Caenorhabditis elegans: one gene and its partner. The protein of the gene in region 1 interacts with the protein of each later gene in a pairwise test. Each region holds a gene or a part of one and is shown in the gene's direction. Other genes may lie near its edges.

Region 1 (3,755 bases):
GAGATAGTATGCCTTGTTTATGAACTTTTTAGTACACAATTTTATGTTTAAAATTTTATATTCGATTTCTAATCTTTGAATTTTCCACGAAAAACAACGAAAACAATACAATCAGCTGGTCAGATTCCCCAAAAACTTAATTTTCTAGATAGATGTATTAATTGGTAGACAATCGGGTTCATAAACTTTCGTTTGCTTTCAGAACGGAATTATGGGAACTGTCACAAATTTGCTAATTATCTATATATTCATAAAATCACCGACAGAGAGAACATCGTTTAATGTTATTTGTGTTTTTCGAGGAATTGGAAACACAATAATATTAACATGGGGATTTTTGGCAACTTTTCTACCGATTACACTAATGTGAGTTTCTTTCGAAACATTTTTCTTTCTAACTTTTCAGAGTTGGGAAGTTCAATTCTTTCCAACATAGGTACTTGCTCGTTTTCCTAGAAAAAAAATTCAATACTGCTTTAATATTCTAATTATTGAGCTTAATAATCTTAGAAGACTTCAAGAAAAATTTTTTCTGTTATTAAAAAATTTCAGAGGGGCCTCTCCATTCAGCCCATTTTATGAAACACTAGTTATTGGATTTTCAAATAGTTTGTACTCTGGACTTCAGTATACCGGAGTTTACATTGCTTTAAACAGATTTTGCGCTATGTTTTTCCCTACATACTATCCAAAAATATTCGATTTCAAAATAACATTTCTTATAACATTATTAATGTTTATATATAGATTTGTCAAAATTATTTTGGAGTTTTTTCATTACATCCGTAAGTGTGAACTCGTTCATCAATTTTAATTTAATTATTTAGCTTTGGAGTGTTGGATGGTTTATACATCTTATGATCTTGCATGGTCTCCGAATATGGGTGAACAATGTAAAGATGACGACAATTCTTCAAATATCAATACTTCTGCTATATTCCAAACCGTTTTAGTAATATTAAACGCAGCGATATTTGCTAAAATATATTTCTTCTATAAATCGACAGATCTTTCGACAAAGGGAAGAAAGCGGAAATTGAAGAAGAACAAAGTTCTATTTTTACAAACTATGATTCAGGATAGTATAACCTTAATTGATATGATCTTCACATTTCGGCTGTCTCTGTTAAGTACAAAGAGATTGTGGTCATTTTTTTGTGGTACTGTAATATGGGAATGTCTTCATTCAATTGATGGGTTAGATTCCAAAAAGAAAGTATTTATGAATAATCCAAATTTAGGTTAATCATGGTTATGTTCAATGAAAGGCTCACATTTCTGCAGAAAACTTTTTTTGCATCTTCAACAAATGCATCAGTTGCATCAAAAGAAAAAGGAACCGCCACAGTAACACCAATGAAAGTTCCATCTCCTGTCGTATAGCCGTATTTAATATTTTAAGTTTTGAATTATGTAGTTCTGCATTATTTATGAATTATTTTTTTAAGGGTATTGAAATTCTAACATAAATGAAAAAAATATACTGATTTTCGGTTGCTTGGAATAATGTTCATTGGAGACTTGTGAAAGCCAGTTTCTAAACGTTAATTTCACTTGAAAGTGCTAAAAAGGCAGTTCTAGCCGAAAAATTGACAATCACTAGAGATAATATGTGTCTATTGTTCATGAGCATTTTTGTTTTCAATCAAATTTGTTTTTACAATTTGAAATAATAGGTCTCTGTCTGAACTTCCAGTTATTTCACCAATCTTGTCTGCCACGTCACAAATCCAACAAGTTCTACAAAAAGGTTAAAACATCTTTTGTCTGGTTCCAATCATGTCATGAGTTGTTCTGTTATTTGCGTTTAAAAAACTTTCTCATACATCCGCATTGATCCTCTCTAATCCCACATAACAAAACCGTTTTTAGTGGGATTGAATCGCTCCACCGATTTCGGTTCTTTTCAAATATTCACTCGTTCGAGTGATTGACTGCCAATCGAAATATGAAGCATTCATTGCTGATACTTATTTCTGTTCTAGCCGTTTCTTCAGTCGAAGCGTTCCGCCAACATGCTCCCCCGCGTCCACAATTCCGAGATATTTCCGATTCTTCTGATGAATCTTCGATAAGCTCCGAAGCAGACTCATTTGAAGATAACGTTGTTCAAAACAAGAACACTAATCAACAAAGAAGAATCGATCCAGATATGATGATTCAAGCAAAACGGAAGTTCAACGAAGCTCCGCTGGACGTTTTTGGAAAGAAGAAAAATACATTCTTTGACCGTCCATCATCTGAAGAATTGGAAGCTTATGATGATAAGGTTAGACAACAGAAAATGAACAGATTTGTTGAAGACGATGAACCAATCATGATCCAAGGACCAGTTGATCCAGAATTCGCAAGAGGCCCAAAACCAAAGACAATGAAACCCAAAATGGATGATGCTGAAGAGAAAGTTTTCCTGACTGCTCTTGGACAAATATATTTGGATAAACTCGACGAGGAACAACGCACAAATGAGAGATATCCAGGACCACTTGGACCAATCGGACCAATGGGACCACCACCTCCATTGGATTATGATTACTTGTTTGTTCCAGTCGAGGCTCCTAGCAAAATGGAGTCTAATAATAATGGAAACAACAATGTTCACGTAAATGTCAATCATGTTCAGGCATGTTTAATGAAAATAACAAAGCTTTATTATTATTCCTACAGGTCAACTCAAATGTTCTTCACGTCCCTGAAAAGGACAAGAAGAATATTGAAAAACACGAGGACATGCCACCAATAATTCCATCTTATCATGACTCAGAACCATCTTCTACATCCCAATTCCTTTATTTCAACTTCAATACATTCGACATTCTTGTCCTTTCTGTTCTGATTGCTGCTTTCGTTTTCGCCACCAAGAAAGCATATACCAAATGCTTTCCAAAGTATGTTTGATGAAAATTTCAAAAAATGCATTTAAAAAATAATTGCAGAAAAACCGTAGCTCCGCAATTGCCAACAACTCTTCCACCAACTTACACTCCTTCTTCTATTGTCGTTGAGACAGTCTCCAAGAAGACACCACAGTAGTTGTATTACTGGAAACTTTTTCAAATCTTTTTATTTTTATATACAGTAACTAAAACTTTGGTATAAAATGTTTGATTATCAATGTTCTTTAGTTTTTCTTCTTCATGCTATCCTCAAGACATGCTGGAACAACCTCTTGTTTTCCAAGACTTCTGATAACATAATCAGCCCACCAGGTTGGTAGAAGAGACAATGGAACGTAAACAAAAATTGCATCCCATCCACAGTAATACCGATGACGTGGATATTTTGCTGTCAGAGCATGATAGTAGTTATCAACGACGTAATGAATTTTTGTTGTGCTCATGGAGATGTAGGTCTTGTTCCACATTTTTGCAACTGAAATATGTTTTGTTATGTATCAGGTGATTGGTTCTGAATTTTTTGGGATATTATTTTTAAAAAACCCTGGACACCCTTTAACAATCTCAATTTTTACATATTTTAATTAAGTATATTTGCATCCAATTTTGAAAGTCTAATATGTGTATTCCAAAACTCACAATAATTTTTAAATGTCTCTCCGTATTCAGTTCTAGTTTCATCGTCAATTTGTGTCCAAACATGATCAACTCTCTTCAGCATAGCTTGCTCATCTAACAATGGAGTACGGAATATTCCGGGCTCTAGAATGCTCACTTTCACTCCGAAATTGTAGAGCTCTTGCCTGAAATTATAGTCATACGATTTAGTGACACTTGAAAGTTGAGTAAACAATTTTA
Region 2 (6,599 bases), on another chromosome or scaffold:
AGTAAGCGCCAGTATGTAAGATTTGCGCGCAATAAAGCGTTTCAGATTGGGCAATTGTGCCTTGCTCGGGTTCAAGGAGAGCACAATTTTGGCTGGATTTATGGAGTGGTTCAAAGACAATTGAACGGAGTACTCTATGAAGTACAGTTGGGATCGAGAATTCAAAGAATTCACACGAACCAACTCCGTCACATTTGCGGTCGCCGGAGCCGTGGGAATGACTATGCTTCATCATTCATCGAAAATCCGTGTAAATTGTCGCTCTTGGAAAACATTCCGCGCTCTAGTTGCCGCCAAAAATTTGTCGCTCAAGGTGTCCGTGGGGAGGGGAGGGAAGCTAATCCAGTTTTAGTTTCAGATTCTTCTGTTTTTGGTTTTAGTGCTCCAGATTTGTCAGCTTGTGATTCTGTTGGTTCTCGATCTGCTCGTGAAGTCGTCTCGTCGGTTGCCGGCAATGCTCGAAATGCTACTTGTGCAAATATAACTACGATTCATGTTACGGAGAGCAAGAGTTCGTTGAAGAAAAGCCACAGAAGACGTCGCCGTGTGGCAAAGAGTCGCCAATCATATACTTCTGGAAGTTCGCCAATCAAAGAAACCCATCTGGACCCCCTGCTGGAATCCGATGTTGCGAGTGACGGCGAGCGTTTCCAACCCGGCATCCTCCTGTGTCATTCTCTTCGACAGAGTCACCCACGACAAGTTGTGCGAGGATCAGCCCCAAACACTGATCATGCCTCCACTCGCCGCAGAGGTCGATATACCGCCTCTGGTCGTGATGCCCCTAGCCCAGGCATAATTTCTGGCTTTTTGTCATATAAGAGGGGAGATGTTGTGGACGGAACGTAAACCTGAACTTTATACAGACGTGACCTTTGGGTCATCATGAACTTATCGCGTAAGCGACCTCTCTTTATAATTCATTACTTCTTACACTTTCTTGTAATAAACTACTTCTCTCCTTGTCTCTCGCTCAATACACAACAAAGCTCAACGTCAAAAAATTGAGAAACAATAACTGGTGGAGGGGAGGGAGGGAAAAAGAAATCAGATACGGTCAATGATCTAAATGTTTGAAGAAAGATCAAGGAACAAGATTCTAAAATTATTCAATTTTTTCTCAAGTTTTTCAGAATTGTTTGACACAGAATAGAATAGCTTTTGGAAGAAAAAACATTGATGGATTTTCAGATGGATTTTCTATAGATTTTTAAAGATTGCATTTCTGCTGGGGTACTGTAGTTAGAGAGCTAAAGTATCTAGAGCAGCAATTGAAAATTAAATTTCATCACGAAAAACAGAACACCTAATAGTAATTTCAATTTATTTCGAAAATAGGAATTAAATTGGATAATATTTAACTTTCACTGTATAAAAAAAGTTGTAAAAGGGAATACTTCTGATTAATGTAGTAATTGCAATTGGTTGTAATATATCGTACGACACAGAAAACTACAACTACAACCAAATGAGAAAGAAAATAAAGAAAAGAATAAAGGATCAACTTGCTTCTTCTCTCTTCAACAATACAATTGCATGTGTTCGTCACGTAGTGTGTAAGTGTTCGTCTCGTGGCGGGAAGCCAACGGGATTCTTCGCCCAACACACAATCATAACCGATATAAATTCGAGGCACCAAGCTGAGAGTCAGATGGAAAAAGAAAGAGTGAGATGTAGAGAAAGAAGCGAGACTCGGAGTGCGCGGTAGAGTTCATCAGAGAGCATGTTAGGCAGAAGAGGGAGCAGGAGTGCCGTCGCACTAGCTCTCCGGCTTCATCCGACGGAGAAGAGAGCAGTTGAGAGAAGAAGAAAAACGAGGGGAAATAGAAGAGAGAGGACTCCTCTGCTGCTCCCACAGCCCAAATATTCTATTATTGCCCCTTTTCTTTCTGTTTCTTTGCTTCTTAGCATCTTTCTCTTCTGGTTTTTTTTCTCGCTTTCCTTCATTCCGCTACAAATCCTCCCGAATTTGAATTCAAATTTTTGGCATAAATTGGTATATGCAATATTCAACTTTACAGAGTACAATCGGCTCAATTTCGTAGTATTGCTCCGATTAGATCGGCGTCGTTTCGATGGCCGCCGTTCGATCCGGCCTGGTCGACATTTTTGTTCAGGGACAATGGCATCGTGTATTGGCTACTCTCGATCCAACTGCTATCACATTACAAGTAATTTTTTAATGATAAAATATTCCGAAAACTAGAAAACCACTGGAAATTATTGTAAAACAACTCATTTTTCGCGAAATTCTAAAAATAAATTGGATGGTTTCTAAAAACGAACAAAAATCTATATTTGAAACAATTATTGTTAAATAATTTAAATTTCGGTATAATAAAATATCATTCATTTTTCTAATGTGGAATGATACAAGTTGCTGAAAAATAGTGGTCGTTCTTATTAATACCAAAATGCGAAATTTTGCTATTCAAGACAAAAGAATACGGTACCGTGTCTCAACACGATCGAGCACGGGTTTCTGGCTCGACCCCTCGGTGTATTTTGTGCAAACACCGTCACGCGCAAATGCATACACTTTTTCAACGCGCTGCGTGAAAATTCCTCTTGCGATTTCAAAAAAATTTTCCCGCCATTTCAGCGTCCGATGGAGCGCGGGGTCGAGCCAGAACCTCGTATCGAGCAGTTATAAATAAATTTGTCGGAAAAGAATGTGCGCCTTTATGAAGTACAGTAGGCTCTAATCCTCACTATTTCGCAGACTGTTTCGTTTTAGAAAAAGCAGCTGCTGGAGATTGGGTCTGGAGATTACTGTAGGTTTTAAAGGCGCACACACATTTTTCACACCTTTAATCCTTTAATCTTTTTGTAAGTTTTCAGTCGTGTCGAGACCAGGCACCGTATTCTGGCGTCATAAAACATTTATTTTTTTACGAAATTACGTCGAACATAAGTTTTCTGATGCCCACGAACGAAATATATCATCTGAAGAGATCCATCTATGGAAACCAGAAACGGGAATGGGATCATATTACAAATAGTCTATGCTTCTTCTTCTTCTTTTCCTTTCGCCACATTTTGGCTCATTTTTCAAAAAAGGAGGCGAGTTGGCTATGAAAACTTATTAGTCGTTCTTGCTAGAAGAAAAAAGAAAGAATGGAATGAGGCTACTTAGAGATGAAGTTTGTATATGATACGACTTAAAAGGAGAAAACGGATGGAGAAAGGTATACTGTGACTACAATAATTATCTTCTTGGAGTCTATATGAACTCTTCGTTCCGACATATATTCTCAAGTATTAAAATGTGTATAACTCTTTTGCTTTCTTATCTTTCTCATCTCTGGTATGACAGTCCAACTGAAATTTTGGGAAAAGACAAAGAAAATATACCATTGCTTGTCAAAAAAGAAGTCGTCATGTCATCTACTCCCCCTTCTCCAAGTATTCCGTCAATCGAAGCTCCGGCTTTTGACAAATTGGTATGCCAGCTTGCATGATTTCATTTTACTCAGTCTCCTCCAAAAATTACATTAGCATGTGTGAATTTGTTTGAAATTGTTTAAAATTTGGTCGGGAAACGTGGAAGGGGATATTTATGAGCAAGGGAAGTGAAATCCAAAGAGAAATGGGTTCAAGCTGTGATGAATAAATATACTATTTTTCAGACAATGGAGCAGAATGAGGCTGAAGCAGAGAAACGGACAGTTCGAGTTGTGAAATATGATGGAAATGGATTAGGAATTTCAATTAAGGGAGGCAGAGACAACAACATGCCTATTGTGATCAGGTATGAATGAACTTGCGGAGATTTATACATCTCGTGTGCCATTTCGTGATTTTACGTCAATTTTGAAATTTTGATCTATGATAAATAATTTTTAGTTTTAATGACAAGGGCAATTCTCTAGAGAAAATTTTTATAATAACTGAAAAATGGAAGAATGGACTAGCAAACCTCGTACACAATCGTGTGTCGATTTACTCAGCGTGTGTACTCCCCGTGGAGAAGCATTTAATTTTTTCAGAAGATTTTACAGTTTTCGGTCAAAAACAGAAAGTATTTCCCGAATTATCCAAAATTAGGAATTTAAGGCGATAACTGTGAAATTGTTTGCAAAAATGTACACTTCTCCTCGGGCAGTACACACGATACGTAAATCGACACTTTTTTTTCTGAAATAGAATGTTTAATTTAGCAATTAAAGAACAAAATTAATTTCGATTGTAGCAAAATCTTCAAAGGAATGGCAGCGGATCAGGCTGGAGAACTATTTCTTGATGACGTCATTATCTCTGTGAATGGAGAAAACCTTCTCGATGCTTCACACGAAGAAGCTGTAAGAGCATTGAAACGAGCTGGACGGGTTGTTGACTTGCAAGTACAGTATAGAAGAGAGGATATGATGCATCGGGAAAATATTGTGGAAAATGTTGAATGGGATGATGATATTCGGGAACGAGTTAGAACAATTGGTTTAAAGCTTGCATATGTGGCAAGAGCTGGAATAGATGCAGATGCAGAAGGTAGAATTCTAGAAATGAGAAGTCCATCAGGAAGGTATTCCCTAGCAATGAGATGTTCAAGTAGTGAAGAAGCAGATGGATGGTTTGAAGCTTTACATGCCTGTACCACGTGTCTTCTGACTCAGGCACTGGCTCAAGTCAATATAATGCTCGGTAACAACCCCCAAGTGAGACATATGGGTTGGATTGCAGAACAAGTATCAGAAAATGGAATTTCAATGTGGAAACCTAAATTTATGACGCTTACGAATAGTGAGATCTTGTTCTATGAAGCTGTTCCACAGCTGAAAGCAGAATGGGCAGAGCCAAGACTAGTACGTCCTCTGGTGGCAACAAGAGTCGTTCAGACAAGTTCTCGAACTGCGCCAGTAATTAAAGGTCTCACTGATGTGATCTCTTTCCGTATGAGAACTGGAACTCAACAAGGTGTTCGGACACATACGATCCGGGTAGAAACTCATGCAGAACTGGCACGATGGGTTCGTGCAGTAGTGATCGGTGGATATGAAGCATGTCTTTCTACATCTCAAGTCTCTGCTCCTTGTCTTTGGCGAGGCGAATCATGCGAACTAATAGTTAATCTAGACAATGGAATATCATTACTTTCGTCGACTGGAGAGGTGAGCTCATTGGAATAATTTAGCAATAAGAAAGTGATAAACGTTTTCTAGATTAAAACAAAGATTTATAACATTTAGAGAAGCTACATTTTCTTAAAGCTTACAATTCAGGTACTGTGGCAACATTCGTTTGAAACGATTCGCGCCACCGGCGATGATGGTGGTCGTTTTCTCTGGGTCGATTTTGGACCACCACATGGTGAACAGGTAAAAATGGATTTTATTTTAACCTTAATTTCATACTTATAGAAAAAAAACGGATTTTTTTTGTGTAAAGTTTTTGAATAAAAAAAAGGATAGGCAACAAAACAATAAAAGCAGATCAACAAGTAATATTCAAAACAAAAGAAGCATAAATGAATGAAAAATTTAGGAATTGGATTTGCTAAATTCCGCAAAGCCAGTCGTGTTCATTCTTCATTCATTTCTCGCCACCAAGGTGTATCGATTAGGATTGTACGCGTGAAGCATCAAAAGGTTAGTTCATTGGAGCTCCATATGCATCAGGCATTCGCTCAATGGAGAATCTGTGATTGACAATGTACATGATCGGAACTCCTGGGATCTTTCGGATGCGGCGCTTCAGATCACGATCACAAGTGGCCACAATATAGCATTTATGCTGAAAATTATATTATTTTTTTCATTTTCAGATTCGTTATTTGTTCAAGTTTGCCAAACAAAAAGACTGCAGCAATACCACATTCCGTCTCCTGCCTCTTCTCGTCATAATAGATTTTATTCGTTTAAGATTTGTTAGATTTTATTAAATGAAAAACAATGAAAAATTATGAATAAACGAACCTGTGTAACTCTTTGAACCAAACAATCATCAGCATATGTTCCTTTGTGCTCACACTTCAGTCTCTGCACACGTGGATCTTTCAGAACTTTCAGAGCAATTTTGAATCTTCTCACTTTTTCCAATTCAGCCAATACACAGTCAGTTGCGTACACAATAGCTGAATTATTGTGATAAAATACAAGAAAACGAAAGAAAGTGTATGACTCACTTTTCGCGAACAGACAATCCATGAATCCTTGAAACATGTCAATGCGATTTTTGACGGCGAAATTCACAAAATTGGTATCGACAATAACGTGAAATGGTGGACCCAGCTGTGTATTGTATTTCATAAACATAGCGGATGAGATTTTTGGACTGAAATTATGAATTATTATTGTCTGGACACATATTCGTACGAATAAAACTTACGCACGGACCAATTTGAGTTCTTGTTCATCTACTTTCGGTGTTCTAATGACTCTTTGTTCTTCTTTTCTGAAATATTGCGTTTTAAATCAAGGTTATTCGATAAAATTATCGTTATCCTTACATTCTGTTGTCTGTCTTTTTGACAAGCTTGTTTACAGCGCTTTTTCTGGCGTTGGACTTCAAGCGTTTACCCATTTTCTGTAAATTAGAACATATATTTGTAAATTAGCACATATATTATCGAAGAAATTTGGAAAAAACGAAGAAAATCTTTA

What was found.
Region 2: the proteins of F35B12.9 (region 1) and stn-1 interact in a two-hybrid assay, tested with the Caenorhabditis elegans proteins (one large-scale study listed by BioGRID).

The regions. Positions count from the first base shown.
Region 1 is NC_003283.11:11,599,246-11,603,000, forward strand, and holds F35B12.9 (uncharacterized protein), read left to right. Parts: upstream 1-1,925; 5' UTR 1,926-1,948; coding exon 1,949-2,623; intron 2,624-2,667; coding exon 2,668-2,888; intron 2,889-2,936; coding exon 2,937-3,033; 3' UTR 3,034-3,113; downstream 3,114-3,755. Other genes in the region: srx-84 (7TM GPCR serpentine receptor class x (Srx) domain-containing protein), read left to right, coding at 203-366, 553-785, 828-1,197, 1,242-1,383; dhs-20 (Retinol dehydrogenase 7), read right to left, coding at 3,122-3,372, 3,537-3,700.
Region 2 is NC_003279.8:9,499,247-9,505,845, forward strand, and holds stn-1 (Syntrophin-1), read left to right. Parts: upstream 1-2,021; 5' UTR 2,022-2,075; coding exon 2,076-2,171; intron 2,172-3,629; coding exon 3,630-3,751; intron 3,752-4,192; coding exon 4,193-5,108; intron 5,109-5,156; exon of another isoform or gene 5,157-5,219; coding exon 5,220-5,315; exon of another isoform or gene 5,316-5,481; coding exon 5,482-5,574; 3' UTR 5,575-5,585; exon of another isoform or gene 5,586-5,586; coding exon of another isoform or gene 5,587-5,730; intron 5,731-5,761; 3' UTR 5,762-5,912; downstream 5,913-6,599. Other genes in the region: F30A10.9 (PIN domain-containing protein), read right to left, coding at 5,587-5,730, 5,913-6,070, 6,122-6,270, 6,325-6,390, 6,446-6,519. UniProt on the Caenorhabditis elegans protein: Adapter protein that binds to and probably organizes the subcellular localization of a variety of membrane proteins. May link various receptors to the actin cytoskeleton and the dystrophin glycoprotein complex (DGC).